2 linked regions of the Oryza sativa Japonica Group genome follow. The protein of the gene in region 1 interacts with the protein of each later gene in a pairwise test. Links are inferred from orthologs where the notes say so. Each region holds a gene or a part of one and is shown in the gene's direction. Other genes may lie near its edges.

What was found.
Region 2: the proteins of FHA domain-containing protein DDL (region 1) and uric acid degradation bifunctional protein TTL interact in binary tests that used the Arabidopsis thaliana proteins (3 or more experiments, as listed by UniProt). The link is inferred for Oryza sativa Japonica Group from reciprocal best matches to the Arabidopsis thaliana genes DDL and TTL.

The regions. Positions count from the first base shown.
Region 1 is NC_089039.1:27,208,799-27,224,811, forward strand, and holds FHA domain-containing protein DDL, read left to right. Parts: upstream 1-2,988; 5' UTR 2,989-3,117; intron 3,118-3,264; 5' UTR 3,265-3,271; coding exon 3,272-4,168; intron 4,169-4,770; coding exon 4,771-4,802; intron 4,803-5,088; coding exon 5,089-5,155; intron 5,156-5,342; coding exon 5,343-5,400; intron 5,401-5,555; coding exon 5,556-5,648; intron 5,649-6,592; coding exon 6,593-6,707; intron 6,708-7,073; coding exon 7,074-7,121; intron 7,122-7,238; coding exon 7,239-7,284; intron 7,285-7,387; coding exon 7,388-7,458; intron 7,459-8,091; coding exon 8,092-8,131; 3' UTR 8,132-8,418; downstream 8,419-16,013. Other genes in the region: probable auxin efflux carrier component 5a, read left to right, coding at 2,137-2,291, 2,380-2,548; uncharacterized protein, read left to right, coding at 13,224-13,684, 14,327-14,447, 14,537-14,813, 14,962-15,122. UniProt on the Arabidopsis thaliana protein: Involved in the microRNA (miRNA) and short interfering RNA (siRNA) biogenesis. May facilitate DCL1 to access or recognize primary miRNAs. Binds RNA non-specifically.
Region 2 is NC_089037.1:15,993,276-16,010,364, forward strand, and holds uric acid degradation bifunctional protein TTL, read left to right. Parts: upstream 1-8,294; 5' UTR 8,295-8,363; coding exon 8,364-8,510; intron 8,511-8,628; coding exon 8,629-8,702; intron 8,703-9,290; coding exon 9,291-9,348; intron 9,349-9,431; coding exon 9,432-9,533; intron 9,534-9,841; coding exon 9,842-10,001; intron 10,002-10,812; coding exon 10,813-11,276; 3' UTR 11,277-11,457; downstream 11,458-17,089. Other genes in the region: cytochrome c oxidase subunit 6b-1, read left to right, coding at 1-14, 89-171, 289-370, 1,558-1,611; histone H3.3, read left to right, coding at 6,523-6,594, 6,680-6,756, 6,848-6,938, 7,036-7,206. UniProt on the Arabidopsis thaliana protein: Involved in the last two steps of the degradation of uric acid, i.e. the hydrolysis of 5-hydroxyisourate (HIU) to 2-oxo-4-hydroxy-4-carboxy-5-ureidoimidazoline (OHCU) and its stereoselective decarboxylation to (S)-allantoin, a major ureide compound.

The DNA.
Region 1 (16,013 bases):
AGGACGAATTCACTTGTACGATGATATTTCATAGAACTCGTATTTATTGATGGTATTTTTTTTGAAATTTGGTGCTTGTCATTTCTTGGATTTTCTCTTCAAAAGGAATAAGTTCACTTTGGGTCCCTCTATTTGTCGCCCGGTCCGATTTTCGTCCCTTGACCGCAAAACCGGATACGACCCGTCCCCCAACTTACGAAAACTGGGCAAACGAGGTCCCTCTGCGGTTTTAAAGGCGGTTTTGGCTGATGTGGCACCTACATGACTTGTTTGACTAGTTCTCTGTCCCACGTGGCATTTGACGTGGCGCTTACGTGGCAATTATATCTTGAAAAAATAATAAAAACCATGGGCCCACCTATCAGCTACACACAAAAAAATAATTTTAAAATAGCGGGGCCCACAAGTCAGATAATAAAAAGGTGGGGCCCACATGGGCCCCACATGTCATCCTCAGCCCCACCTTCTTTCTCCTCTATCCACATCTCCCTCTCTTCAGCTCTCTTTCTCCCCTCTCTCTCGCGGTGGAGAGGCAGTGGTGCTCGGCGCGCGGCGGCCGGCAGGAGAGGAAGGGGTGGTGGGAGGTGGCCCTGGCTGCCGCAGTCGTTGAGCCCACGGGCGTCGCGCTCTGCAGGCGAGCGTGTGCAGAGGAGCGTTGACTCGGCGGTGGGGGGAGCGGCCGCGGCGTCGTCGTCAGGTGCGTCGCTGTCCGCGGTAGCGCCGCCGAGGCGGGCGGAGCTGCCGGGTGCCGTGGCTGCTGCAGTTGGCCGACTTCCTCCACCGATGGGGTGTCGACAGCCGGGCGGGCGCGGTCCTCTCTTGCGTCGGCACGGCGGGAGCGGGAGCGGGAGCGGCAACAGGGGAACCGCCTTACCCCGAGCGGCCACGGCGAGTCAGGGAGGTGGGCGGCGCCACCGGTCGCCGGGCTGCGGTGGCGGCTGGGGTCGTGTCGTCGGTGGGCGCGGGCGGCGAGAATGCGGTGGAACATGGGGTGGAGGAAAAGGGGGAGAGAATGACATGTGGGCCCACGTGGGCCCCACCTTTTTTATAATTTCTGTGTAAAACTGACATGTGGGTCCCACAAGGTTTATTTATTTTTCAGGTTTAATTGCCACGTCAATGTCACGTGGGACGGAGACCTAGTCAAACAAGCCACGTAGGCACCACGTCATCCAAAATCACCGAGGGACCTTGTTTGCCCGGTTTCGTAAGTTGGGGGATGGGTAGTACCCGGTTTTGCGGTCAAGGGACGAAAATCGGACGGGGCGACAAATAGAGGGACCCAAAGTGAACTTTTTCCTCTTCAAAATTATGGGGGTGGGAATAAGTTCATCTTAGGTCCCTTAACTTGTCAACGAATCCGATTTTCATCCTTCAACCATAAAACCAGGTACAATGGGTCCCTGAACTATCAAAACCGGTGCGGATTAGGTCCCTCGGCGGTTTCGATGGCGGTTTTGGCTGACGTGGCGTCTACGTGGCTAGTTTAACTCGGTCTTCATCTGATGTGGCATTGACGTGGCGCTTACGTGGCAATTTGATCCAGAAAAAAAATAAAACCTATGGGACCCACGTGTCAGTTTCACACAAAAGAATAAAAAACAATGGGACCCATGTGGGCCCCACATGTCAGGCTAACTCACCCCTTCCCATCTTCCTCCTCTCCCCAGCTCCCCTCTCTTCATCTCTCTTGCGCCAGATGCGGATGGGATGGGCACCAAAGGCGGCCGGGCTGGTCCTCGGCGGTGACGGAGGGCAGCACAGGCGCCTCCCCCCACTCGACCGCGCCGCTGCGGAGCTCCACCCGAACGGCGACGTAGGACACGGTCTCCAGCCGCGACGACGCGATGGTGAAGGGCGCGGCCAGGGGCACGTTCAGCGGCCGCGCCTCGGCCGCCACCACGTCAACGGAGAAAGTCTCCTTGAGGGCATCGGACCCGAACGCCTCCGCCGGCGCGGGCGGTGTCGGTGACGGCGAGACGGCGCGGAGGCGGGTAGCGCCGGCGGGTGGTTGCTGCCTGCTCACCCCCGCCGCCGGTGCCGGGCGATTGCAGCAAGGTAAAGGGAGGAGGAAGCTGCCGCTGGCAACAGGGAGGGACGGCGCAGTCGCTGGACCTCCTGCTGATCCAGTTCCTGATGCCCGACAACGACGCGTGCCGGCAGGCGGAGGAGCAGACCCGGCGGCTGGCGTGGGACCCGCAATTGGTGCCGGTGCTCGTGGATACAAAGCAGCGGTGGAGCTGGTGGTTCATGGCCGTTGCCCTCTCGATCTTCACGGCCTTCCATGTACGGTGAGGGGGCGCAGCAGCTCGTTGTCCAGCTCTCCGTCTTCTAGGCCATCGTCTGGCTCACACTGCTGCTGTTCGTGCTCGAGGTCAGGAAGGCCGCCATCGGGATGTACGTCGACGGCACCTCGTCCTCCGACGAGTCGTCGTCGACGACGACGACGCCGGCCAGCAAGGACGTCGAGGCCAGCGCCGGCGCCGCATCCACGGTCGTCGTCGTCGTCGCGGCGAGCGGCAAGCCGGAAGCAGAAGAGGAGGGGTGATTTTGACTGACATGTGGGGTCACGTGGACCCCGCCATTCTTTTATTAATTTGTGTGTGAAACTGATATTTAGGTCCCACGGAATTTATTATTTTTCCGGATCAAATTGCCACATCAGTGCCACGTCAGATCGTGATCGAGTCAAATTAGCCACGTAGGTGCCACGTCAGCCAAAACCACCATCGAAACCGCCGAGGGACCTAATATGCATCGGTTTTGATAGTTCAGGGACCCATAGTATCTGGTTTTACGGTTGAAGGACGAAAATCGGATTCCTTGACAAGTTAAGGGACCCTAGATGAACTTATTCCCTATGGGCCACCACAGAGTCTTCCATATGGGCCCTCATCTAACTGGGCCGCCGTCGCTTAGCAACTTGGGCTCTCTATTGGGCTTTCGCGGTCGTCTTGATATTGTACAGCCTTCCCGGACTCCGCCTCCGGTTCCGGATTGTTCTCTGAAGCCGAGCCCTCACAGAGAAGAAACCCTCGGTTCGCGGTCGCCGCTGGCCGGTCGCCACCGGCGATAACCTCGCCGCCGACGACTCCGCATCCGCTTCCGCCGCACCCGGTACGCTCCCCTTCCTCCCTCCCTCCCTCCCTCTTTTTTTTTTTGGCGGCTCCTCGGACTGAGGCCGCACAAAACCCTAGCGATTCCGCGATTTTTCTTCGTAGTGCTGTTCTGAATCGGTTTGGTTTGGGGGTGATGCTGCTCCAGGTGGGGAATGGCTTCGGCGGTGGAGCGGAGGGAGCATTCGCGGAGGTCGGGGCGCTCGAGGTCGCGCTCGCCGGCGAGGGACCGTGGCTCGCCGCCGCGCAGGCGGAGCCCGCCTGCTCGGAGGGAGAGGTCACCGGCTCCGAGGAGTCGCTCGCCTAGGAGGAGGTCTCCTGTTAAGACTACTAGCTCACATAGGGAGAGGTCGCCTGTTCGGAGGAATGGCTCACCTAGGAGGTCTCCTGTTAGGAGTATTGGGAGGTCGCCACAGAGAGATAGGGTGAAGGAGCAGGTCAGGTCGCCGAAACAAGCTCAGTCACGGTCACGGTCTCCGTCACCTGCCAGGAAACGGGAGTCTCGGTCGCCCTCACCACGGAGCAAACGATTGAGAAGGGCTCAGAGTGAGCGGGAAGGTGCAGATGCTACTGAGGGTGACCGTCGGAAGACCACCAGCAGGGAAGAGCGGGACTCGGGGAGGTACAGGGAGCGTGATGAGGGAAAGGATGTGTCAAGGGATAGAAAGACTGAGAGGGAGGATAGTAGGGGCTCTTTTAAGGACAGGAAACTGGATCATGATGATGATAGGGATCACTCAAGAGATAGAAGGTCTGATCGGTCGGGTGCTTCAAGGGAGACATGGTCAAGCCGAGATGATGAAAGGCGTGATTCAAGGGGTAGAAGGTCTGATGGGGATGATCGAAAAGTCAATTCCAGGGAGCAAAGGGCAGATCATGATGATAGAAGGGATTCTGCAAGAGAGAGAAGGGCAGACCGGGATGAGAGCAATGGTGAATCAGGGAGATCATCTAGGCGTGGGCGATCAGTGTCTCCAGAAGAGCATAGGCATAGGGGTAGACGTGAATCCCGCCAGTCACCGAGGTCATCTAGAAGTGCAGCACATGGTGAGGTGTGTAATGATATCTGACCCTTTTCTTATACATATCCACCTGTTAGTTGGCGTAGTGTGTTCTTTTGTTTCATGATTGTCCCTTGTTTCTGTTCTTTGTCTGATAACCTGCACCCAAATGAATAGAAGTGAAAAAAAATTACTACCTCCGTACTTGTAAAGGAAGTAGTTTAGGACAATGTTTAAGTCAAACCTTGGGAATATAAATCATGAATAACTCTCAAGTTGAGTTTGAAAATGTAAAAATTATACGAATAGATTTGTCTTGAAAAATACTTTTATAAAAGTATACATATATCACTTTTCATTAAATATTTTTATAGAAACAAGAAGTCAAAGTTATGTTTTGGAGACCGTGTCGCTGTCCAAAACGACTTCCTTTACGAGTACAGAGGGAGTACGCCTTGTTATCAGCATTGTTGACACTAAACTTGTGGGTCTGTATTCCATGTAAACCCTTCTTGCTTCAGAGTTCAGATTCTAGAGGATATAATTAGTTGCCCGCTATCCTTTTCATTTCATACCAATTTGGTTTCTTTTCATGTTTGCTATCATATATGGCCCGTTAGTTGCAACCTAAACTTTGTTTTGATTTATTTCAGGATACAAGCTCTGTAACAGATGCAGCGTCACGGTAAGCATGCAAAACTCTATATTCAATACGAATTGTAAATTTTTAGTAGAAGCATTGCTTGCAATTGTTTTCTTGTTGTATCAATGGGGCTACGCGTGTTATGGGTGTCATACCCTCTTGCTGGAATGGTTTTGAACTTTTGATGCATATCAGCATATCCGTTAAGCAACTGTAGCAGTAGTACCTAAAACAAACAAATGTATATTTGACCAGCTACATGAGCGCAATGTTTTTGTACCTGAAATTTTAGAACTGAAAATATTATATTTGATACTATTTTGGCCAGGAGTGTTGATCCTGATTCTTTGGTGAAGATGAATGCTACTGCAGAAGCTCTGGAAGCAAAAGAAAAGGTAGGGCATACTCCATGATGAAATTTAAAATAATAACAATCTTCCTTTTGTTGTGTACAGTTTATTTATATGATGCTTGCTGTTTTCGCAGATACAAAATACTTGCCATGTCAGCTTTCTTTTTATTTAACCTTTCTCTTCATTTGTCATACACTAGTATTTTAATAATTTCATTGGTGTTTTGCAGCAAAAACCATCATTTGAATTGTCTGGAAAGCTTGCTGAGGAGACTAACAGAGTTGCAGGTGCTGTTTTGAAGCCCTATATCTTTCTTTTTGGTCATGAACCTAAATGTTACACTTTACATTAATGTTTGTTTAACCACCAATGAGAATTTGTAATTCCTTGTTCTTTGCTGTATTGCATTGTCCTCAGAGTTTGCAATTTACTTCCATTTCAGGTGTAAATCTGTTGCATTCAGAACCTCCAGAGGCTCGCAAGTCAGATATTAGATGGAGACTCTACGTCTTCAAGGGTGGTGAACCACTCGAAGGTAGTTATTCTTGACTTGTTACTCTATATATGAAGCTAACTTTTTTCCTTTTGTCATGCTATCTGTTCGAGTTAATAGTTTTTAATAAATAGAAGAAAAAAACATTTTTTGGATTTGCCAGTCTGTAGAGGCATGTTCTTGTCTAGTTCAACAGCTGTTTCTCTATTTCCCTTCCCAACATGGCCAAACCAAAAGTAGGTTCTGTTAAAAGCAGTAAGCTTAACTGACTGTGATGAAGCGAGTATGGAACATAAAAACATTTTCGAACTAGCTTAATTTCGGAGAGTTTTGGAACGAACCATTTAACGTGAGCAAAGGCACTAACGAGTGGGTCACTATGATATGAGCTTGCATTGAATCAGTATCATTATTTACATTTTCCCCGGGGAGTAAAAGGGCTCTTTCTTTTCTAGAGTAAGGTCGATATGTGTACACGGCACAGCCACCCAAGTTAAATGCATGCGTGTGTGCACGTGCCTAACTAGAGTGGAGGTCTAGATCTCATAAAAGGTGTTCACATGCTTTGAGAACTAAACATGCCCTTATCTGTGGCTTAGTTGTCTAGCCCTGGGGAAAGGAAAGAGAACCTTTGTTCAATCGATGGATCAAACACAGGACCATTGGTTTGTAATAATGAAGCCTGCCTAGTGCTTTGCTATTGTTCAGTTCCTTACGATACACTGGCTTGTGAATATATCCAATGATACTGTTTGAGCATTGGTATTGTATGGATAGCTCACTAGTTTTAGTTTTGAACGGAAGTGAAATAACTGAAGTAATGAAGTTTATTGTGATGAACAGCAAGTTAAAGGTTGGGCATTATAGTGGTATAAATTAAATGTGTACGGTGGTAAAAAAATTCACGTGCTTACATTAGTGATTAAATACTTCAGTTTTGCTCTTCTTGTTTGACTGTGTCTTGTGATGCTATCTTGATTGAACAGAACCATTATATGTTCACCGGATGAGCAGCTACCTTTTTGGAAGGGAACGGAAAGTTGCAGACATCCCCACAGATCATCCCTCCTGCAGTAAGCAACATGCAGTTCTTCAATATAGGTAAGCATAGCAATCTTATTGTTTTTTGCCTTTACTAGCATATTGCCTGTGCGTGGCAACAGGATTTTAAATAAAGAAAATTATCATTAACTCATTATTATCATCATTTTCTGTGTATATCGCCCCTTAATTTATGTATATATTTGTTACTGACATGTGCACTGTCCTATTTTCTTCTCACAAAAAGTAGGAAGTTGGTGGTAGGGGTGGTTGACATGTAGGCCCCCCTTTTCTATTCCAAAAAAACTAGGGAGCTGGTGGTGGGGTGGTGGCAGATTCACCACTCACCATCACCACTGCTCCCTTTTAAAAGGAGTATAGATTGAGAAATAATATTGTGATTCACTCATCTCTTTGCCTTTTCAGACTTGTAGAGAAGGAGCAGCCAGATGGCATGATGTCAAAGCAAGTGAGGTACTCCTTGCTAGTAACGCATATATTTTTTTTAATAACAAGTACTAATAATTCATGATTATCTTAGTTCTGTATGCTAGTCTAGATTATGATGTTTTTTGCTGCTTTGTTTGATAGGCCTTATCTGATGGATCTTGGTAGTACCAATGGAACTTTCATTAATGTAAGTCCTCCAGTGATACTTTTACTACTAATCAGATACACTAGTCGCATTTCTAATAATATTTTCTACCCAGTCAATATTTATGTTTTGATTTTTTTTTCAGGAGAATCGTATTGAGCCCAGCCGTTATTATGAACTCTTTGAAAAGGATACCATTAAGTTTGGCAATAGTAGGTATGATCAATTAAAGAAAGCATCACTTTTTTGTTTATTTGTATATTGCTCAATGTATATGTATCTTTGGTATGTGATGACTTAAATTAACAACTTATTATGAAAGTGACAGTCTGGCTTTTGGCATTCTCTTTAATTAGAGCTTTTATTTTGATTTGTGGTACTCTTGGGATAAACATTTTTTCTCCAATAATCTAAGTAATATCTTTGTAAACTACGCCTAATTGTTTTTCTCAATACAATTTCCAAATGAATCTTTAGGTGGTATATTAATGTTTATAAATATCAAGGAATCTCAAAATGTCTACATTATGGAAACATAATTTTCCTTTATGGAGCCTTGACTTGCAAGCTCAATCATGTATAAATGTATAACATATGTTCGGAGCTGTGGAGATTTTGAAGTTTGCACACAGTGCCCCTTCCTAGTTCATACGGTTTTCATCCTTCAGAAGCCTCATCTTTTTGTTCTTAGATGGATGGTACTATTTCTAATCCATATTTAGGGCCCTTTTGAGTCTAGTTGCCCAAAAGTAAATATAATATAATGATGATCAGCCTCTGCTTCTATATGCCTCCTTACTAACCCCGTTCATCTAAAATCTGACAAATGTTTTATTGTTTTTTTTGCAGCCGGGAGTATGTTTTGCTTCATGAAAACTCGAAAGATTGAGGATTGAAATTGCTGGAAACTTTGCTCCATTGTTACCTGAGATTTTGACGTCCCTCTGCTGCTTGTTGTTTGTACTATGGTTTCAGTCGCCTGAATATTTTTCAAGAATGCCTGAAGGAACATGGCAGAGGCCGGTAATCTTCCGTTACATTTATAGGATTCTAGAGCCTAGACTTGTTTTATTATCCAGTGGTTGATCTAGTACCGCTACTGACTTCATGGTTTTGTCAAATATAATGTCATATTGTCACTGCCATATCATAATTATAATCTGCAATTTGTGACTAGTGAAATGTTGGCACTCTAATCTATTTGAAGTCTGAGAATCTTGACACGAGATGAGCAATAATCTGATATAGCCAAGCACTGAAGCAGTTCTGTTGGCTCAGATTTTATCATTTAGAGGTAGCCAGGTAGGGGATACTCTAGCTTCATTACTATTCTACAGTTAAGCAGGCATCGAGAAACAAAGCAGGTAGCCCACTTTGGGCCCAAAAAAAAAAAGAGAGCATCTTTCGACTGTGCACATGGTAGATTGCTAGTGTATAATGCTCGAAACCTCGACAACTCGTCAACTACACAAGGTCAGTGGTTTCTAGCCGCTATATATACTGACCGTGTTCCCAAAACCTTTCTCCATCCGTGTACCGATTGATCTGCAGCAAGCTTCAGCTTGCTCCTGCATCTATCGATCATGGATAGATCACCGTCTCATAGTCTTCTCCTTCTCCTCTGCTACCTCCTCTTCGCTCAGCCGTTGCAAGCACGGATGCTAGGTAGGCAACATAGACGCTTTCACTCGCATGCATCATGTGAAAAAAGAGAGAGAGAGGAGTGCATTTGGTAGCTAGTAATTTGTCATTCACTGACCAAACGCATCACGCATTGACCATGTGAAAAATACTACGTATAACAAATGGTTTGATAGCTAATTTGTCTGTCTGTTCTTCACTGACGAAATTTCTCCTGCTGTTTTTGTCGCTTCAGGAGAAGCCTACTCCTCCCATCCACATCTTCGTGCGTCGGCGTGGCGGAGCAGCGTCAGCACGGATGACGGTGGTGCGCTGGTGAGGCCGTCGCCGTACATCCCGCCGTCGCCGAAGCACCCAGCGCCGCATCAACACGGCGGAGGTGGCGCGCCGCCGCCGATGTGGCGGCCGGTTGCTGTTGCTCCGCCGTTGGCAGGACACGATGATGGCCAACCTGCACCGCGACAGCGTCCCCCAAGCCCGGCAGTATACACGGTTTAGACGTTTAGTTATTTGTTGTAACCTTGATGTTACAAGGTAGTCACTGCCATTCGTGTGATTGGAATGCCGTTTTGTTTGGGAAATTTGAGAGCCATCGGGTGAGAATACGAAAAACAAGCTAAATTCTACTTATTCTTAGGGCCTGTTTGGGGGAGTTTTTAGCTACTGCAGCTTCTCCCAGAATCAGAAGCTCCCCTAAACAGTCTAGCTTTTGGTCTAAATTATAAGAAGCTGTAGTTGTAGAATCCAGAAAATAAAAAGCTAGAAGCTGGGAAACCCAGTTTTTTCAGATTCTTAGAAGCTGGCAACCAGCCAGCTGTTTCTCAGAATCTTAAGCTCCCTCAAACAGACCCCTAGTTCATTTTTCAGATTCTACAACTACAGATTTTCAGAATCTGGGTAAAAAACTGGACTGTTTGAGGGAGTTTTTGGCAACTGGAGATTCTAGGAGAAGTTGCAGCTACTAGAAGCTCCTCCAAACAGACCCTTAGAATCTAGATGAAAAGCTAGATTGTTTGAAGAGCCGAAGATGAAATTGCAGTTACAAGAAGCTCCCTTAAACATGGCCTGATTGGCTGATTATGTTGTCAATTATCAAAACTGTCAGCTCCTCGCCATCAGGCTTCCAAAACCTGCTAGTGACTGGCTGTAGCCTGTAGCAACTAGCAACCGGTTTGTGGTAAGTGCATAAAAAATCGTTGAATGCTCGCATGGTTTGATGGTTTGAATGCTCGCATTAAGATTCATGTGACTGCAAGCCAAAAATCTCACCAATTCACGGCCAGATCGATCGCGATCGAGTGAGCGCAGAAGTTTGACACTAGCTCCGGTCATTCACGCACGTGGGTTTTCGCGGTTGCTTCCTTGCTGTTGAACATTTTTTTTTCTCTTTTGTAACTAATAGCTGTTGAACAGTTATGTTGCTAGCAACCTTAGCTCGCAGAGAAAAAATGCGTACGGTAGCAACTAACTGACAACATACTGTCATTCGTGCTCCTTTCCTGTTACTACTCCCTCCGTCCCGGATTTTGAGTTTTTCCATACTACGTTTCACCACTCGTCTTATTCAATTTTATTTTGCAAATATAAAAAACGAAAAGTTGTGCTTAAAGTACTGTAGATAATAAAGTAAGTCACGAATAAAATAAATAATAATTTTAAATTTTTTTAAATAAGACAAGTGGTCAAACGTTGCAAGTAAAAACTCAAAATCTCTCATATTATGGTATATATATTATGGTACAGGGAGTACTAAACATTAACGACGACTAGTTGATCCAAATTAAATATATATTTTTTGATGGTTCAGCAATACTAAGGCTGTGTTTAGATCCAAAGTTTGGATCCAAACTTCAGTCATTTTCCATCACATCAACCTGTCATACACACACAACTTTTCAGTCACATCATCTCCAATTTCAGTCCTTTTCCAAACTTTACAACGATCTAAACACAGCCTAACTAACAAAACCGTTGACTCACCAATCGCCACACACATTGTCGACAAGTACAAGCGCCGTACGCAATTAAACCCTACCTATGTAAAGAGCTCGCCGCGAGCGCTGCATCTTGCAAACACACATGCATACATCTCTCGATCCATCGATCGAATCGATCAGCTTCCTTCTGATCTCCTTCATTCCCGCCATGGAGAGTTCGTCTCGATCTCCCTGCATTTGCAAGCTGCTGCCGATGCTGATGCTTCACGTCGTCCTGCTCGCTCCTCCGCTGCTCCAAGCTCGGCCGCTCGCGCTCGGACATGGACATCGTCTGCTGGAGTCGTCGCCGCCGGTTATAATGCTGCCGACCGACGACGGCGAGGCCGTGGCCGCCGCCTCGCCGGGACTGGATGTGCCGGGACAGCTGGGACGATCCGGCGGGGCGCCGCCGCCGCCTCAGTCAAATCGGCCGGTGACGCCGCTGGCCGGGGTCGACGGCGGCGTGTCGGGGGGGAGGGCGCCGACCAATACTCCGCCGTCGCCTCAGCCGGGTGGGTCGACGAAGCCGCTCTCCGACGACGACGGGAAGCCGCCGCTGGGGATCGCTCCGCCGTCGCCGCAGGGAAACAAGCCGCCTATCACGTCTCCACGTCTCCGAACAAGCACGGATCCCCCGCTCCGGCCGCCGGCGCCGGCGGATGATGCCGCCGGTTTGCTCCGCCTGATCCGCGACGCCGTCGAATACGTGATCGGCGAACTCGAAGCCTGATCGATCGAGACCGAGGAAGAAGATGAAGTTATATAAACTGTACCATTAATTACCAACTGTATGAATATATGTCTAGCTTAAGTAGACGAGCACATGTGTATATTTATTTTGCATGCATGTTAATTTCGTCACTAGCTAAGTAGGCTAGCATATATATCTATCGATCCTCATGGTAGTATTTCGACCTTAATTAACATGTATCTTTTCGATGTTTCAATAAGTCTGAAATTCTGAATCAATAAAAACTAAGTTGTATTCAGATTGGTGTCTTAATTATAAGTTTGCCATGATTTAATAAATTTCAAAATTTGTAATTAATAATATCCGGTTGTACTTAGTTTGGGTCTCACAATTATAATATTTTCAGTTTTGATAACTTTATAGAATTTGGGATTAATGCTTATTGTCGACGGGCTATACTCGTTGACGAGATTTGTAGAGTATACTCAAATAGTTATAGAAAAAATTAAAAAAAAAATAGTAACATCAATTGTGATGATATAAGTCTATACACAAACATGCATGACTAAATTTGATCTATAACTAAAGAAACAAAAATAATAAAATCAGACAGTGACTAGTCCCTGTACAGTGCAGATAAAATTTGTTATTTTTTTTCTTTGTATGTCGATTAAATTTAGACTTGTATGTTTGTATAGTGTTTTATATTAACATAGCCTATCTTATTAAATTTTATAAAACTTTTATATGACTGTTTAAATTACATGTATACACCTAGGTACCATGTGTAGAAAATACTTTCCCGGTGATATACCCAAAACGAAGCGCTGCAGCTTGCAACACACGTACACATCACATCTCTCGATTGGCTTCCTTCTCCTTCCCGGCTTCCCGCCATGGAGAGTTCGTCTCGATCTCCTTGCACTGTTGCTGCTGCTGATGCTTCACGTCGTCCGGCTCGCCCCTCCGCTGCTCCAAGCACGGCCGCTCGGACACGGCGGACTACGTCTGCAGGAGTCGCCGCCGGTTATAATGCTGCCGACCGACGACGACGGCTTGCTGAGGACGAAGAAGAGCCGCTCTCCTCCGCCGTGCCGATCAGTCTGGCCGACGACGACGGCGTGCTGGGGAGGCCGCGCCGCTCTCCTCCGCCGCCGTCAACCTTGGTACCCCGGTGTGCCGCGACGCACATGCAGCTCGCCGACGACGGTGGCGGCTTGCCGAGGAGGCAGTGGCATGGCCCCCGACACCCCGGTGCAACCGCCCTCCGATGGCGCGCGTGTCGCGGTGGGACGGCCGGCAGCACGCTCCGCCGACGCCAGCGGCCGGGAAACCCGCCGCGTGGACACAACGTCGCCGTCGTCTGCGCCGGCTGCCGGCCGCCGCTTTTCTCCGGGTGATCCGCGACGCCGTGCAATACATATGGTCGGCGGACTCGGAGCCTGATCTGTCAGAAGTATAATTTCCTTGTTTTAATTTCAATATGTTTATTTGTATCGTTATATGGTATAGGATCAGCTGAGCAGGAGCCAAATGTACGTGTGTTGATTTCCGTGACATATGCATAAATTTCTTTTCGCATCGATATATATATATCAGGACCACTTTCTTTCTCCCATCGAGTTCGCGAGGAGGAAGAACCCTAACCCTAGACTGCGATTCGGCGGGCGGAGATGAGAAGGCCCACCATAGAAGAGAAACTGGCGACCTACTCCATGTTCCAGGTTCGTCAGGGATCCACCGTCCCGATCACCGCGCGGGAATGGCTGGACTCTCTGCCGCCGCCGCCGCCGCCGTCGCCGTCGCAATCGGGGGCCAATTCCTCCACCTTCCTGCCGGCGGCGGCGGGGTCTGCATGCGAGGCCCCGGCGAGGAAGAAGAGGACGCCAGGGAGGTGGAGGAGGATCCCTCGCACGCTACCCCATCCTTGCCTGAGAAAGAGGCCCATGACATGGGAGGAGCTTCTCGCGGACAGCTTGGACATGAGCGATAAGGCTCACTGCTTCAGGGAGGAGGATAAGCCCGCTTTCCGCGAGTCCAAGGCGCAGATGGCCAGGTTCTATCAGAGGATGATCGACATCGAGAAGAACAAAATCGAACAAATCTTCCGACCCCGCGTCCTCTCCGATACACCGTATGTTAAACCCCTTCTTCTTTCTTCTTCTTCTTCTTCTTCTTCTTCTTCTTCTTGTTTTTTTTTTTTGCTCATGGGTATGTCAACTACATCACTAAGAAAACATCATACAAATAGAACTTTCCTTTCGTAGATCCTAACACACGTGAAATTGCGCACCCATTATATTCCTCAGTACAAAATTCATGTGAAAAACTATCATTGTTTTTTTATCACTTATAAAACAGTAGTGATCACAGCAAACAAGACATCGATAATTCAGCTTAGAATAGATCTCCTAAGGACACAAGGAAGAGGTGGAGACAGAAAAGCCAAAGTTACTTTGGAGATGAATCCTGCACGATCCTGTAAATGGGTAAACTGATATTAGAACCTGCAACCATTTTAATTAATAAGAAATGTGGATTTTTTTTAAGCTGCATTTCCATTCTTGGTTACTAAAACAGTTAAATTATAAAATAACTTCAGTTGATTCATTTAGCTGGTGGTCAGAGATAGAACGCATTAACAATTGAAGTCCTGTATATGCAACAGAAATACAGAATGCAATAGTTGAAGTGAAATTAAACTTTTAAGTGAATACCTAAAATTGGTTTTGTCCAACACACTGTTGAATCTATTACTCTTTTGAATATATTGCAGTGAGCAACATTTGACCGCAGAAGAGATGGAGGCAGAGCTCGCTGGCAAGAAAGTTTGTCCCCAAGCTCATCGCTTCGCCAATTTAGCAATTAACCATTACAACAATATTGAGAAGAACATTGTAATAGCCCTTTTCCTTTTTTTGCTTTCCATGACATGATAAGTCTTAATGTTGTAAACTACTAACCTTTCTATTTTTTGTTTGTTCAGGTTAAGATTGAGCTTTGTACTGTTCTTTTATCAAACTGTTTTCATGAGGTCTGTGGGTCCACATACGCCCATGTCAACTTTACTGCCAGGGCTCAGAATGATGATCAGGCTAAGAAGAGCCTGTACTTTGCAGAGCTCAAATTGAATCCGGATCTTCTGGCAAAGAGGATGGAACGCTTTGCAGAGTTGAGCCTTGATCCTAATATTGTTGGATGTGCTGATGATATCGAGCCCATGTGTGTCGTCTCTATCCACAACCTCCAGGGTTCTTGTTTTGGTATGTTTATTATTGTCGACCAATTGACTGTATTCTGATTAATATGCTTGCTTATTTGTAATTACTGTAAGGTTATTGATGTTTGTACGTGTGATTGTAGGACCTTCTCAGCGATTTATTTGATATGTTGATGTTGCTTTAATTGTAGGTGGATGCCATGAGATCAACAGGAGAATTGATTATGTAATGACGAGGAATCAGGACTATGAGCGTTGTCACTCATGTAGTGACCGTATCAAGCATCCATATGGGACAGAATTTGTTGCAGGGCATGATAGTTCCAAGATTCCGTATTACACTGCAGGCTGATGTAATAAGAGCATATTCATTGTTGGTTTTTAGAGGGGATCCTAGAGGAGAGAGAAGTCATAGTGCTAACGGTATACATTGTGGCTATTTTTCTAGCAGAAGGTCTCATCTAAAGACCATGTAATTAAACTTTTTGAAATAGGATAGTGCTATCTATCTAATCCACGACTAAATTTTCCATTTTCAGGTTAACATTAGAAGTTTTGAGTATTCAATTAGTATAAGTATAAAATATAGTGTTGATGCTTTTGTCACCACAACGATTTACAACGGTCACTGGTCGGTGCCCCTCCGTCCAAAAAAAAAAGACCAATCCTATAGAAGACTTGTGGCTAGGAATTCTTTTTTTTTTTTACAGAATAGAACGGCTTTGTATAGAAGGCTCGAGCTTCTTTTCAAATTTGGTCAAACTTTATTATATTTCTTCCTTAGTGTCAAATTTAGCTGTCAACAGATAGATTGGAAGTACAGTGCAGCGGAAATTTTGAAGTCTCGCAATGCAATTTCTAGTTCATAGAGTTTTCATCCTTGAGTACCCTGATAATTTTATTCTTAGGTACTCCTAAATGGCATTATATGTCATTAATCCTATGTTCCCTTTTGCGCCCAGTTACCCAACAAATTAATGATTATAGGGTAGAAATAATGATGTGATGGATGTCTCTGCTTCTATATTTGTCCTTTAAAACAACTTACTAACTCCGTTCAACTAAATGGTGGCAAATGTTCTATTGTTTTTGCTGCTGGCGGGAGTATGTTTCGCTTCATATGAGAACTGGAAATTAAGAATGAGGATTGAAATTGCTGGTACTGTGGTACATTGTTACCTCAGATTTTGACATCCCTCAGCATGCTGCCTGTTGTCTGTACTATGGTTGCAGTCGCCTGAAT
Region 2 (17,089 bases), on another chromosome or scaffold:
AACCAGAGATTAAGGTTTCCTACTGCAAAAGAAAATGATAGGATATTTGTTATAATGATTATTATACTAAGCATGTTTTAATATACAGATCGAAACGGCTCCAGCAGATTTCCGTTTCCCAACAACAAATCAAACAAGGCACTGTTTCACACGCTATGTTGAGTATCACAGGTACAACTATGCTCTTTCAGGGAATTGAGTTTATTAGTTGGTTTACTGTTATGAAAGAAATCCATTGGTTTAGTTGTGTTGATGACTTGATTATCAAAAGATGTGCTTATTTATCAGGTGCGTAGCTGCGAAAGGGGAGGATGCTCCTGAGTGTGATAAGTTTGCAAAATACTATCGATCTCTTTGCCCAGGCGAATGGGTATGTATCTCCTGTTTTTTGAACATTGCTTTCAGCACTTTTAAACTCTTCTTCCTTCTGTCCCTGTAAGTAAAATAGGTACTCATGTGACTTGTGGAGATTCTTTGGTCCTCATCACAATTTTTGTATCTACTCCAGTTTCACCATAACAGCCTAGAGTGATACTGTTGCCATAACTACTTTAATGTTAGAGTTGGTGAAGTTGATGATTGGTTCCAAACCAAATCCTCACACCTCTTCTTTCATAAAAAAAGAAGCGGCAACATGTGGGCCCTTCATCCCTCCATCGGCCTGTGATTCCCCATTTAGCCAACTTTCCTTATACAAATCTCATGTATTGTCAGAAAATTTATTCGGTATTCTCCATTATAAGAAAACCAACTTCTGAATTCCCATTGCAATGCATGTGCACATAGTTCTTAAAATGATTATTTAGATATACACGACACTGCTTGAATAACTTTTTAAAATATTATTTAAAAATTTGTGGTGTCCCAGTTAATCTGCCTTTGTATTGGTTTAGCTATTAACCCACGATTTATTAAGGATCAGTGAATTTTGGTCACCTCATAATATTGGTTTGTTAAGTTTGTTAGTTGGATATGTTAATTATCTCCCGAGATTTGTTATGGCTACCTATGGCTGTTCATGTCATGGCCAGTTTTGCCCTACACGGTTACATGACTGAATGGCGATAGTAGATTCTGATTTTAAGTGCTAAATTGTTACCTTCGGCAAATGGCAAAGGCAATTGATGACTCAGTACATCTATATTCAAGAAATATCTGAGCTACACACTTAGTTGCTTCTGATAATTTCTTGAGATAATGCTATATCCTTCTTTCAACTTTGAAGCGATTGCTCTTATTGTCTTGTGTTTAGCACAACTGCATTTACGTGTGAATCTATATGTATGGTTTCTTTGTGAATGATATGTTTCAGCCTAATTACTCCACATTGGCTTTATTGGTACATACTAGCTTGTGCAACTTGGTCTATGCATGTGCTTAAAATATAAGCAAATCGATACAAGTTTTCTACTTGCACACATGCAAACCATAATTGGATCCACAATTACTTGGCTGATATGGGTACCCTTTAATCAAGATCATAGCACTATCATTTAATCAGAACTTCAATGATTTGATCCTGTACACCTTAACACCATTAACGTGTTTGATTTTCAGGTTGAGCGTTGGAATGAGCAACGGGAAAACGGCACCTTCCCTGGACCTCTGTAAGCATGTGCAAAGGGGAGAACATACGTTGTTGTCCGGGCTCTCTTCGTTGGTAACTGGCGTCATGTTATCAGAATCGGAGGGATCGTCCTTTTTTTTGGAGAGATTTACAAATAAGAGATTTCTTTTTTTATTTGAAGAATGACATCTGTTGACTCTACCTAAACGATCATCCTCTGCACTGCTGAGAAACTCACATTACAGCTATGATCTTCCTCCCTTGACTGATCTTCCATAACTGTTTTCTCAGGATAATGTGGTTGCTCGCTTGGGAAAATGTGTTGACATAAATCTTAAGTTCTTTACTTTCTCTGTTTATGTATTGTCGTCTACGCTATGGAGTTAGCGGTGCACGGCAATTAGACGCGAGTGACTTTGCACTCTACATGAGTATGACCATTGTTCAGCCAACTTGGCAGTGTTGGTAGTGCGTGTGGTTGCACCTACCAGTTGCTAAGCAGCAGGTTGATCAGGTCATCTGAAATTTGGATGACCTACTTTGAGTGCCAAAGCACCCCCGTTTGCTCTTCAGATTAGCTATATGCGAAACGGTGGGGATTAATCAGCAGGACTACTCTGAAGCAGTAGAAGTTTGTGCGTTTGTTAAAACCCTACGCTCCAGTCCAACCAAGCCAAAGGACTAATTCGGTTTAAACAACTCTCTTTGCCGACTGACAGATCAGGTAAGATGGCTGATCGGATACACGGGATAGTCTCCAATCTCATGAAAATGTAGAGAATGGTTTTGAAAATTTTCGAGACGTTAGGTTTTACAATACTACTCCCTCCATCCCCCCTAAAATGTAATGTAAGGATTTTGGACATATGAAACACTTACTACTACAATAAATCTGAACTATTAGGAAACGTCTATTCTGTAGTATTAATTTGTACTAGCATTTATGATGGAGGCTGAACGCTAGCGTTAAGAATTCTTTGAAAAAAGAATATAAAATATGAGTTTTTTGGAGTAAAATTTTCTTCCTATACGAAATATACATGCTTTAATCCTCACTAGGTTGTAAAGAATATAAAGCCATGGTTTTCAGATCTCCCATTTGCTATATTTTCCCGTGTTCAGTATAGTATATTTTCCCATGTTCGCTATATTTTTATAGCGTTCTATTTTAAACATGCAAATACGTGTTGTTAATACTCGTGAGGCTGCGTTATGGAGAGATTTTGGATGAATTTTCCGATGGCACTTAAAATGAGACAAAGTCATTAGTGTATGATTAATTGAATATTAATTATTACAACTTAAAAATATATTTATTTAGGTATTCATCAGTTGTCCATATTTTTAATAAGCCAAAACGGTTAAAAAATAAAAATTAATTTATAGGTACAACTTTTATATATGTCTCCGTGATTTAAAAGATAATATTGAAAAAGAAAAATCAACTTTAAAAATTAAGTTTAAAAATTTAAATTTTGGTTTTGGCTTTGCATTTGACTTATTAGGGTAACCGATGATGCTATTAGTTTTTTTTAAAACAACTTATAAAACACATCTTTAGCGGTTCAGGTAGCTTTGCTAACATAAAATAAGAGAGTTGCTCCCTCCAACCGAAGAATCGAACGCATGCTAAGTATTGTTAGAACTAAAAGAACAATATTATTTATTGGAAGGAATAAAAAAACATCACTAGCATTTATTCTAAAGAAATCCTTACTGCTAGTAATATTGTCTTTTATAAATTCGAAAAAAATTGAAAAAACTTTAATTTCAGATAAAACTAAAACACCTCGTAGGGGTATATATTAGTAGCACTGGCATGTTTTTCCCTTTTTAATTTGAAAAGCCATTGATACTAGTATAGGAGTACGAGATCTTCCCATCATCCCTAAAGTGTTTTTTTTTTTAATTCGATTCATGTCACTACAAATATATTATTTCAGATAAATATTATTACAATTCATTCATTGTAGCTGTGTTACTAAATTTTTACAAATTTTAAACCATGCCACGACCGTCATGTTTTCCACACTTCTTCCTCATGTGCACACGGACCCCATTGGTGCATCATGTCCTTTGTCGTTGCACCAGAGCCAAACACGAAGAAGGAGCACATAGCGTAGCTGAGTGGGGATGGGAACATGTAACCCTTGCCGCAGGTGGAGATGAAGTAGTGGTTGCTACAGAGGAGGAGCTCGAGCTCCACCGCGAAGAGTGGTGATATCTTGTTGTGCACCGTGCGGCATGACCTCACATAGTACAAGGAGTTCGGCGACAGAGAGAGCGGCACTGCAAGCAAACAAGCTTACAGGTGGAAGCTTGTCGCTGGGGATGTGTTCCAAGCATAGCCACCCAACGCTCCTCCGTGTGATGGTTGGCGATGGGGGTAGGCCCCATTGGTGTCCTGGCCACCCCCCACCACCTCCAACCCTAGAGGCTGTGCTGGGGGAATCTCGTCGATTTTTACTCCGTTGCCACTATGTTGCGACTTGCGAGGGAGAGGGAGGAGGAGGGATGGGGGCAGTGGGTCCCTGTGTCGCCAACCGTCGCGCCGCTGCTTGCATAGCTACCGCCGCTGTCACAAAACAAAAGGATGGGAAGAGAGAAGAAAGAACATGGAGAAAAGGATGGGAAGAGAGAAGAAAGAACATGGAGAATGAATGGAAAACGTGACGGCAGTACGGTTCTAATTTTTTAAAATTCAGTGACGCAGTTACGGATAGATGAATTATAAAGATATTTTTATGCCAAATGGCATATCGATAATGACATGGCTCGAATTAACCTTTTGGTTTTGAGCAATGCTACACGTATTAAATTTTTCTTACTAAACTTTTACTAACAATCATCTCAACCGTTTGATTTAAGTAGATAGAAGTTACAAAAAATCTAGATGCACTCATAGCATGACACATCAGTGTTAGTAAGAATTTAGTAAAAAAAGTTATTACGTATAGCCTTTTCCTTCGGTTTTCCCTGGCTGACGAGTGACAAAACTGCAGTTGAGCACATGCGGCAAAAGAACACCCCCAGCGTCATCGTGCCACGTGGATGGCCCCCGCACCAAATCAAACGGCCCCCGCGAGAGGAACGCCACAACCAACCTCTCCCCCTCCTCTCCGCAGCCGCACACTCCCGTCACGTTGCGGTACGGACACCCACACACACAGAGACACGCTCCGCCTCTCACTGATCCGTGGGACCACCGATCCGCGGCACGCCAGTTCGGGCCAATCAGAGCCCAGGGATCCACGCTGGCGATCCGCGGGCAGTCACTCACCCCCCGGCTCCCACCCCCACCGCCGTCCGATCGTGGCGGAGGAAACACACCCGCGGACGATCTCGGCCGTCCGACCACGCGGGCGGATATACCAACCGGGCGGGGGGTGGGGGATTCCTCGCTATAAATAGGAGGCCGCCGCTTGGCTGAGCAATTTTTCTGCGGTTTCTTCTTCTTCTTCCTCCTCCTCGCGCTCCCCCGATTCGAAGCGTGAAGAGAGGAACGGCGCTTGCGAGAGGAGAGAGGTAAGCATCACGGCGAAGTTTCCCCCTCTCTCTTTCTTTTCGTCTCGTTTGCTGCGACCCCGGCGGGGTATTGAGATTCTCCGTTGAGGTCGGTTGGTTGGGGGCTTGGGGGATTGGGTGGGTTAGGGCTTGGGGGTGGGGGGAATTTGGCGATTTGGGGGGTTTTCTCGGGTGATCTGCTTGTTTTTGCGCCGTTTCGCCCGGTGAATGCCAGCCCCGTGTGATTTGCTGGTTTGGTTGTGGTCTAATCGTCTGATATTCCAGGGCTGTGTAGTCCTGTAGTTTTTGACTAGGTAATTGGAGTGCTGATGGGATTTGCCGTTGAATTTTAGGTTGTTTAGCTCTAATTTACCTGCAACGTTTTGGGAATTAGGGTTTCTTGGTGAATTTTAGGTTGTTTAGCTTTAATTTACCTGCAACGTTTTGGGAATTAGGGTTTATTGGTGATATAGTGGATACGCATCGTAAACTTGTATTTAGGATTCCCCTTGGGATTTTGTAGGCGAGTGGCGGCTGTATGTGATTGGCACGAATTATTTACTCGGGTGAATTTAGACTAGCTATTTTATTGTTGCCGTGCCCTTTCTGGATATGAACGGATGAATATGGCGTCACTGCTCGATGATATCGCAATGTTATGATTGAAAAAGCATAGTAGTTATACTGATGCCATTGTGTAGTAGTTAGTTTGTACCTCCCCTGGGTTGCATTGCAACTTGCGTTAATATGGATACTCCGTACAATTGTTTATTGTTTACTTGGTATAGCTATGCTGCATTTTCTATATTTGTTGGGTTATAAGTTTTTGTCCAATATTTTTAATGACTTGTGCCAGAGGCTCTCAATCCTCTGTTATTAGACCTGTAATTGTAAGGTCTATTTCTCCTTCATTCTGTTTCAATGTTAGTTTGTGGATGTACAGAAATCAAGCTATGATTGATATAATACATTGCTTTGGCATAATGGCACTCTTATTTTTGTTTTATTTAGGAGAGTGCTGTGTATTAGTTTGTTCAGTTAATTCAATGTTGTATGTTTTACTGTGTCGGGAACTTACAGATGTTCTCTTTAGGTTTCTATCCATTAGTAAGTAGAGTTGTTGCTTTGCTTGAAACCATCAATTTGAATCTGTTTATAGAGATAGGCTGTTATTCCTGCTTACTATTTTTTATATAGTTACTTTGCCATCCGTTAATCAGGTTAAGAACAATAAATTGTGTCCATAATCAATGTTTTCAATGGAACTCACAAAATTTTGACAGAAACATGTTGCTTTCTTAGGTCAATCTCTAGCATATTGTTTTTTTTTTGAATTGTTACTTGTTTCTGTGGTGTTATTACAGAAAGTGCTTACTTCCACTCTAGAATTTTATTACATTTTTGTCACAGCATATTCTGTCTGTAACATGTTATTCCTTTTTGTAACATAGATGGCCCGTACCAAGCAGACCGCTCGTAAGTCCACAGGAGGAAAGGCTCCCAGGAAGCAGCTTGCCACCAAGGTATAATTCTTTTCATACTTGCCTTTTGCTTTGTTAAACACAGAGTGATTTCGACAGATGGTCTTACATCACCATCTCTGTGCAGGCTGCTCGTAAGTCTGCTCCCACCACTGGAGGAGTTAAGAAGCCCCACCGTTACCGCCCTGGAACTGTTGCCCTCCGGTTAGTATCAAATTCCTGGGATGGTTACCTCCATGTGGTCTTTGATATGCTTTTGCTTATTTGTTTTGCTACTATTGTGCTTATAAAACAGTGAGATTCGCAAGTACCAGAAGAGTACTGAGCTTTTGATCAGGAAGCTGCCCTTCCAGAGGCTTGTTAGGGAAATTGCACAGGACTTCAAGGTTGGTATCTCAAAAGTTCATGGCATAATTTGATTGCTTTCAAATTTGGATTGTTTGTGATGGCTTATCGATTGAACTTGGCTTTGTTGTTTTGCAGACCGATCTGCGTTTCCAGAGCCATGCTGTCCTTGCCCTCCAGGAGGCTGCGGAGGCATACCTTGTTGGTCTCTTCGAGGACACCAACCTGTGCGCCATTCATGCCAAGCGTGTGACCATCATGCCTAAGGACATTCAGCTGGCTAGGAGGATTCGTGGTGAGAGGGCTTAAATTCCCCTCGGCGATTCCTTTGACAAATGAAGCATGCGTCGTAGTGTTAGTAGTGGGTTTTAATCTTTTGCTTATAAGAACAATCTGAGTAGGGTGTATTTTGTGGAACAATATGTTTCTCATGATGGTGCTGTATTCGTCTTATTGGTGGATCTGTCAAAAATACTCAGCATATTGTCAGTGTGTCTGGTGACTCTTATTTTGTTAGTCTGATTCGTTTGCGTCTTATTCTAGCGGTGCTGCCTCTTTGGCACTGTGCATGGCTAGATACAATTACATTGTAATTCACCTGTCTCTAATCCGTGTTAATGTAAGTGTTCCGTTGCTGTCCGTGTGAATTGTGTGATGCTAATTTCGCTTGGCTTTGGCTCTGTAAACCACAAAGATTAGGTTCAAATTTATACTATGTTTTAACTAGGGCAAAGAATCTTGTGTGGTATAGACCGTTTTGATGATTCATGTTGTATTTATTGGTACCCTTGAAATTTTGTGGTATTCTTTGAATTTTTTGGCCGGATGCTGAGGTTATATTCAAATTCACAAAGTCACATTTTTGTGCGAGGTGGTCGATTGCTTACGAACAACAAACATATCTTAAATTTTGAATATTCAGAATTTCAGACGATTGCAGACGTTAAATGAGGAAAGTACGGCTCCCTTTGAATTGAAGGAAGGAAATATATATGAATTTTAGAGGATTTTATTCTTATAGGAATTTTTTCTACAAAGCCTTGAATTAAAGGAATGAACCCTATGAAATCCTATCAAATCCTATGAAATTCCTATGGAATATCTTTTGAGTCTTTATCTCTACTCAAATTTTTGTGTTTTTTCCTGTGGTCCAATCAAACGCGTTTTTTCTGTGTTTTGCAATCGTCTGTTTTACACTTATATTTATGTTAAAATTCTATATTTTTTCTATTTCTCTATTTTTTTATTTATTTGATTCAAAGGGGCCTACACGTGATTTCCTTGAGAATAGAAGCCCACAAGTCCCAGTGGACCCTGCACCAAACAGCTTTTATTCATTCCAATTCCAAGAGAGGAGAGAAATATAATTATATAGCACAGCACATAAGAGTACTAGTGAGTAACCAGTGAGTAGTACGCCCGGAGCTCGCATCGCATCACCGGCTGAGAGAGATCCTAATTCCGAGATGGCCACGACGCGGGGGCAGCTGCCCGTCGAGGACGTGCTGCGCGTGAACGGGAGCCGGCGATTCGCCGCCGCGCTGGCCGCCGCCTCCCCCTTCGCCTCCCTCGCCGACGCCCTCCTCGCCGCCCGCCGCATCTGGCTCAACGAGGTAGGTATTATTATACTCCTACCTTTCTAACCACCACATCCCCCCGCGGTTGATGATGATGATGATGCTCGCTGCTCATGGCTGGATATGGTTTGTTGGCCCGCCGATCGGATCGTAGGTGGACGTCAACGGGTGGCTGGAGGCCTTCGCCGCGCACCCGGCCATCGGCACCACCTCCTCCTCCGCCCCCAAGTCGGTGCCTCTCTTTCCTTCTTCCTTTAGTTTTTTTAGTGGAGTAGTTTTTTTTTCTTTTTGGGTTTGTTTGTTGTCGATCTCCACTGTCTGTCGCCGAGAGCGGATTGATTTGCTTAAGAGCTCCTAGAAGGAAACTCCCTCAGCCAAGATGCTTTGCTCAACTTGTTCAAATCATCCATCCTATGGAGAAATTCACTCTGCGGCGTTATCAGTTTTGACGAATAGAGAGATCTGAATTATCAATGCCCGTACTGGCTTACAATACAGAGAGGCATAGCCGCATAGTACATGTTCATGGTGTTCTCAACTACCTTAATTTACAGACCTCTACAACCTTACATATTGTGCCACTAATGTAAGGTGGTTCAAGACGAGTCTAGTCTGATATATAAAATCACACTAGCCAAAGCCAATAAACAAATGAATAAAGAGAATCAGGTAGTTTTCATCAACAAGTACACAAGGGTGGACAAGTAGAAAGTGCTTAATTGGTGGTTGGGAGCTCTTGCATTATTTGAGTGTATATGCCCTTTAAAAGCTAGTACCATGGTAGGAAAATTTTGATTTGCTTCGTGGGGGTATTAGGTGGTGCAAGGAGGAGCAATCAGCAGCGCTTGCAACTGCCACTGATTCGACCGCGCAGGTGCTGCAGCTTTCTTTGCCATCATTTTCTTGCATGTTTTACAGTACTTGCAGGCTCAATATGCTTCTTTTCACCTGCTGTAGGAGTTGGCAGATTGGAATGCCAGGTATAGGGAGAAGTTTGGGTTTGTGTTCATGATATGCGCGTCTGGGAGGACTGCCCCTGAGGTCTTAGCGGAGCTTAAGGTCTGGATATGCTCTTCTATTACCTGATTAGTATTCTGTGCTTATTTATCTCTTTTTAACTAGCGCTCGTATGTTTAGATGATTGTTCTCTATGAGTAATGACGAACTGTGACCTGTGGAATAACAGTAAAATGAGAGCCATAGAAGTAACACTGTTTCTAAGGGATACACATGTTAAATTTATCTCTGACACTGTTTGCTGGATAACCTATTTCTTAGCATGACAAGCATTTCATATACAACTAAGCTTCATATAATGACTTCCTTTCCATTGTTGAAGTTATCTTATTACCATCCTGCTCTTTCAGAGGCGCTATGAAAATAGGCCAATTGTTGAACTTGAGATCGCAGCACAGGAAGAACTGAAGATAACTGAACTGCGTCTTGCAAAGCTTTTTGCATCAGAGCCTGTTGCCCCCCCTTCTTCAACGGTTGGAGGTCCTACTAGCCAATCGGATAAAGCAGCAGGTACTGAAACAGTTTTATCTGCTGTTAATAAATGCATGCTCTTTATTCAACATATTCGAGGATTTTCCGTGTACCTATCCAATATACTTATCCCAATGGTCCTCATTAAGTTTCTTGGATTGGTAGTTCCCATGCCCACATTTATTTTTTGACTGAGCAGCTGTGCTGTGCATTTTTGGGCTTTTCGCATATAGTCTTTTCCATGACGAAGGCTACACTTTGATGTTTTCCATGGTCATGGTTGCACCTCATAGGTTAGTACATCATTTTTTTTCTCAGAAATAAGTCCTGATATCCAATACTAAAGGAACTATATTTTTTCTGACTCTAAAAAAGTAAAAAAGAAATGCAGTTCACCTAGTATTTTGGTTCACTTAATTTGCAGAAAAACGCACTGTAGTACTGTATAGATTAGTAGTTGCAAACTTTTTTTTCTGATGTTAATGAGCAACCTAGTGTTGACATGATTACACGCAGCAACTTTGCTTACTATTGACCTCCGATCCATTTTCTTATCTATATGTATTATCTCTTGGCATATAAAACTGTAACTGAAAACAAGAAATGAAGTAATTCATATGTGGAGTAAATAAGTAATGAACTAACTTTACGGAATGAGCATATCCTGGAAAGGCATCTCCTGGGCATCGCTTATCATCAATATTTGAAAGTTGAACTAGCTGCGACAATTAACCTGTACGTTATAATTAACATCACTTTATTTTCCTTCGCATGTTGTGTTGTGGAAGTGTAGCATACTACTAATGGTTTTATAATTATTCTGCTTTCTTACCATTTTATTGTTCAAAAGACCGCATGCGGATTATTGGAGCACATCTTGGATCTCACACCCAGCATTCTGCCAATAAAGCTCCTGAAATTACAGGTAGCTCCAACCGAACTCGCCCTCCGATCACAACCCATGTTTTGGATGTCGCTCGTGGATCGCCAGCATCAGGAATTGAAGTTCACCTAGAGATGTGGAAGGATGCATCAACACCCCCATCATTCAACAACAAAGATTTCAATGGATGGGCAACCCTGGGCTCATCGGTTACGAACAACGATGGCCGCAGCGGTCAACTGATGGACATTGTCAATAACGTCGCTCCTGGTTTCTACCGCATAAGTTTCAACACCAGCAAGTATGCACCTTCAGGGTTCTTCCCTTATGTGAGCATCATATTTGAGATAAAAAAGAACCAGACGACCGAGCATTTCCATGTCCCTCTGTTGCATTCTCCTTTTTCATTCACCACTTACCGTGGCAGTTAAGTTAGCCTGTCCCCAAGTCTGCGAGATGCTGCATATTCCATCTGAAAAGTTCGTGTGTAATATTCCTCTTGGTAGCAAAATGTCGGGAAAACAAGTTTGCTTTGGTAGCAAGGGTTGCCTGTTTATGTGCACTGACATTATGATGCAAGAATAAATTTGATATACTAAAATGTATACAGAAGCTTGATGTCTATAGTACTAAAGTTTCAGTGCATGGTTTGGTACGACACATGCCACTTAGTAGATGGATTATATTACACTTATCAATCTATACCTGTATGACCACTTTTTTGATTCATTTGCCATTTTTTTCCTAATCCAAGACTTGAGTTGCAGATACTGATATTATTGACTCTGGAAAGATACGGGGAAATATCTGCTGAAAACCATCAAATAAGTGAAAACTTGTTAAAGGCATCAAAACAAAAATTTTACAAGTTTATATACTAAATTCCATTCAACAAACAGGTTTGTGTAATACCAATGCAAATTATTAAGAAAAAAAAACTAGATATGAAAATAGGTAATGAATTATATCACCACCACCAAATTTCAAATTCAAACTCAATTTTTTTTGAGAATTACACAGTACAACGCAGACACTCACAACGCACGCGCACTCACCCCTATGAACGCACGCACGCAAACTCTACCCCTATGAGCATCTTCGAAGACTGGGCCGGCAAATCCTGGAGAGATTGACGAAGTCACCACAGGCGTCTCGCTGTCGACGGGTACGTCGTCTACCACTGAAAGCACAACGCCGTTAAATCCTGGAAAATTCGCTCCCATAGGGAGTTGAAGTCAGGACCTCAGGTGCTACTGAGGCTCTTGTAACCACTAGGTTACAGACCCTTTCGCAAACAACTTTTAATTAAACAACTTTCGCAAACTCAATTTTAGGGCCTGTTTGGTATAACTCCAACTCCTAAATATAACTCCAGGAGTTGAGTTTGGAGTGGAGTTGTGGAGCTGCCTAAACCCAGCTCCACAACTCTAGTACATTTTGTGAGAGAGCTCCACCCAACTCCACTCCCAGTTTTGGTGGAGCTGAAACTGTTTGGCTGAGCTCCAGCTCCAGGAGGGGTGGAGCTGGAGCTGGAGCTGTGCCAAACAGGGCCTTAGTTGGAAGAGGAAAAAAACAACTTTTAATTAAATACAAAAGGCACCAAAATAATTAAGCGAATAGCATGTATCTGTTCTATCGGCAAGCAACAGACGCACCAACCTATCAGGCCAGGGTAACTAGTAAAATTTAACGATTTGATATTATATTCGTTGACAGTTTAATTCTATTAGCACTTGAAGATATAGTACCTACAGTGCAATCTTAGAGTTTTTTTTTTTTGAAAAGTGATCCCCATATGTTATTGTATATAGATTAAATCTCCACGAGAAATCGTTTTAAGTTTGTGGTTGGACTCGTTGTAATTTTTGTTTCATTTCTAATTAATAAAATTTGAAACTGTGGGGGACTCCCGTGCAATGATTGAGGTAAAATAAAATTCTCTCACTGTACCCTTCATCACTAATTCACTGCCGTTGCCACGCCACATCTTCCCCCATCCCCTGCCTTCGGGCGCTGAACGGTGGTGCAGTCAAGCCATCGTCACCGTCAAAAAAAAAAAAACAGTGGCTCACATTCGTGCATGTATACATAGAGTAGAATGGGCCAGCCCATTAGTCCGTGCAATCAAGCCAGCAAATGAGGCCTAGCCAGGTTGGCGCATTATGGCGAGAAAATGTCCGCGGTAATGGAGTCGCGGAGGGAAAAATGGCATCTTTACTCTATTTTGGCGCCGTAATTACATAATTATCTTCGTTTACCCTTTTCACCTCCATTTCTCTTCTTAGGAACCCCTCCTCCCCGGCACGCAAAACAAAGCACCTATTATTGTATGATTAATTAAGTATTTACTATTTTTTTTAAAATAGATTAATATGATTTTTTAAGCAACTTTCATATAGAAACTTTTTTTTTAAAAAGTACCGTTTAGCAGTTTGAAAAGCTTGCGCGCGGAAAACGAGGGAGATAGGTTGGGAAAGTGAGGTATTGAACGGAGCCTTAGCTGTAAAAAGAATTTATGCCCTTTTCTTGTCACCTCTTCACAGCCTAGTTTTGAGATGCAACAAGCTTGTGATCGGTTAGGTATGGCAGAAGAAACCACTTGAAGACCACGTATTTGCCACCGTGGTTGGTCAGTTTCTACGAGAGAGATGGAAGAAAAGGTGGATGGCGAGCACCATGAGTCCATGAGGCAAATAAATACCATCTCTATACTTGTCATTCTTCAAGCATGGCTGTATTTTCTCTGTAGTAATAATCTTATGGAGGTAACACTGGTTTCGAGGTTACAAAGAGGTATGCAAATAAGAGGAAGTCTGCTGGTAGTTAGATCATTTAGATATGTTTGCTCAAAAAGAGGGTCATCGGAAACAATATAAAAGAGGTTATTTAATAAAAATGTCCTAGAGCTGAAACTAGAACCGGCTGTCAAGTAAGAATTGGCCTTATACTAGACCATGACTGATCTTGTTCTAGACCACAATCACATCCTTTATCCACGAGAAACATTCCACCTAATGTCATCACAAAGGAATAATTTAGATTTGCAACCTTTTAAAATTGAGACAGCCGATGACTCCGGAATTGGACCAAAAGCTGCACATGAGCTAGCTAGTCGTTAAGTTGGTGGAACATTTAATCTTAGCTACACCCTTCATGATCAAAAAAGTTATTTGCGTACCAAGCGACGGAGGGAGATGGCATATGGTCAAGCCGGAAGTATGTTGAAGTATTTTCAAGTCAAAATTGCTGAGAATCCATCCTTCCAATATGCTTTGCAAATGGATTGTGATGAACAAGTAGCAAACATATTTTAGGCTGATGCTAAAATGATCATAGACTATGCACATTTTAGTGATGTCACTTTTGGTACTACTTTTGGAACAAATAAAGAGAGTAGACTTTTGGTGTCTTTGTTGGATTCAATCATTTTCGAGAAACAGTAGTTTTTGGTGCAGCTCTTATGTATGATGAAACATTTGAGTCTTTCAAGTGGTTGTTTGAGACCTTTATAAAATCACATAATGGCAAGCAACCTCAAACAATTTATACAAACCAAGATAGTGCAATGGGCAAAGCTGTTGAATAAGTGTTCACAGAAGCATGGCATGGATTATGGACGTTCCACATAATACAGAATGCTATCAAGGATTTATCTCAACCGAAGAATGAAGGCTCAAGTATTTTATCTGATTTTAGTGCTTGTATGTATGAGTACAAGGACGAGGCAAAATTTGAAGAAACATTTGACACCATGAGAAGCAAGATGCAGAAGCAGACTTGGTTATATAGTATCTACAAGTTCAAAAAAAAGTGGGCTAAATGTTATATGAAGGATGTCCATACATTGGGGATGAGAAGCACACAATTAAGTGATAGTCTGAATAATGACTTGAAAGACCATTTTAAATCTAATTTTGAATATCATTTGGTTTCTACAACACTTTGAGAGGGTAGTGCAACTGAAAAGAGATAAGGAATTGAATTCTCTATTTGAGTCGAGGAAAAAGTTGCCAAGAATTAAAATGAAAATACCTATATTGTTGCAAGCAAGCAAGCTGTACACACCCATTATATTTGAAGCATTCCAAGCTGAATATGAACGTTTCATGGCAGCATGTGCTGAAGTGTTGGATGGAGATAATAAATATCTTGTTGCAATTGGAGATGAGAATTTAGCATTTGAAGAGGAGTACATGGTTGCTGGTAATCCTTTAGAGCAAATGGCTATATGTAGCTATGGTCAATTCAAGAGGATTCGAATATTCTGTGGCCATGCTTTAAAAGCTCTTGATTTGATGAATATCAAGTCACTGCCAACACATTATGTGTTAAAGCGATGAACGCATTAAAGCGATGGACGCAAGAAGCACGTCTTGAAACTATACAAGATAACCAAGGAAGAAGCATAGTTGAAGGTCCAAGATTGGATGAAATGCTTCGCTACAAATATCTCTCATGCAAATTTCTTAGTTTGGCACATCAAGCAGTTAATTCACCATAATGTTTCTTGCTAGTAGACAACACGCTTAACATCCTCACCAAGGAAGTTGAAAATAAAATGGCTACAAGTCCATGTATTAATTTGGGAGACCCATGTGCAGCTCGTGTTGATGTTCAAGAACCAAATGTTTCACTTACTAATGCAAGCCTAAAGAAGAAAGAATTCCGTACAAGAAATTTGAAGAGGAATAGATCATGGACAGATAAGAATGGGACAAGGAGGAAAAAACAAAGTACAACTAAAAAAACTAAGGTAAGTTCTTAGTACCAATTTCATCCTAGTGCTATATTTTAGTTCATGCCAATGACCTTTGCATTATAAATTTTGTTCTCTTTCCAGCAACAAGATGTTGAGAATGCTGGACTGCAGGCACAAGCTGTAGAAGAGAGCAGTTCTAGGACCAACATCAGTGATGTTGGACAATATGGGGTCATAAATACCTTCACCCAATTGTTGATGGTAATCAAAATAATAAGCTAAACGCATAAACTTAGTGACTGCAATGTTACTAAGTTTTTTTTTTACTCTGGTTCAACTTTACATGGGCCAAACACCAATGAGCTTGGCACTGAAGACATTTTAGCTATGGCAATGCTTTTGTTCTTGTTAATCATATGCTCTAGTCACAATTTCTTTTGCCTTGTGATGTGATTTGTCACTCTATTGTGTAATGAAACATGTTTTTTAAAACTCATGAGTTGCCTTGCATTTTATTTTCGTGAAATTCTACGTATTTTTTAGGTGAATTAGCAGTTTAGCACTAATCAATTGGAGGCTTTCAGATAATGTTTAGCAGAGCAAAGGCTTTATATGCATAAGCTGACATTTTTTGGGCCAAGCCTTCTTCTATTTGCTTTGATGGACTAGCCCATTCTACTCTGTGTACACACACGAATGTGAGCCACTGGTTTTTGCTAGACGGTGAGGATGGCTTGACTGCACCACCGTGCCTTCACCCCCCGAAGGCAGAGGATCTGAATCCCCTCGCTGTGGCCTCTCCTCTCCTCCCGTCATTGCATCTCCTATCGATCGGCTAAATCCTTTCTTCCTATATAATTGGTACCCTCAACAAGTCATTTATGCTATAAAGCTCAAATTTTGTGAGGCCACATAATCATGATTATATTGACCATTAGATCATCTTGCGTCTATGCAAATCAACCATTAGATCAAGTTCTTCTTAGCCGATGGCATCTGAGAGGACCAATGCTTTTTGTCTTCCTCTTAATTACCTCATGCATCATTATATCTCTCTTTATCACTAACCACTAACCAATACATCTCCCACCCGAATCCTACACCACTACATTTGTGTCTACCTCTTTCTCATTCCCTTTAATTTTCCTAATGCATCTACTAGCCATATCTAGGTCGATCCAATGGATTTTCTTGAAATATTTATGCTTGAACGGGCTTCCTCAATCATCTAAGGAGGAAATGTCAATGGTCCAATGAAAATTTGGTTTGTCACTGTCATAGATGACATCGAAAATTTGTTGGTACAAATTACAACACTCGATGATCTTTACCAATTGCAAGGATGTCTATCTATGTCTATCTCCTATGGTGATTGGTTTTTGGTACTCTATCATGATCTTGCTTCTTTTCACATCTGATTTCTTCGTTTATCACCAAGCTTTATTATGTCAATGTACCACAACTATGGTAACTTCAATTTTTGGTGTTGTAACTTCAATTTTTGGTAACTTTAAGTATTGAGGGATTGGTCCACTCTCACATTTG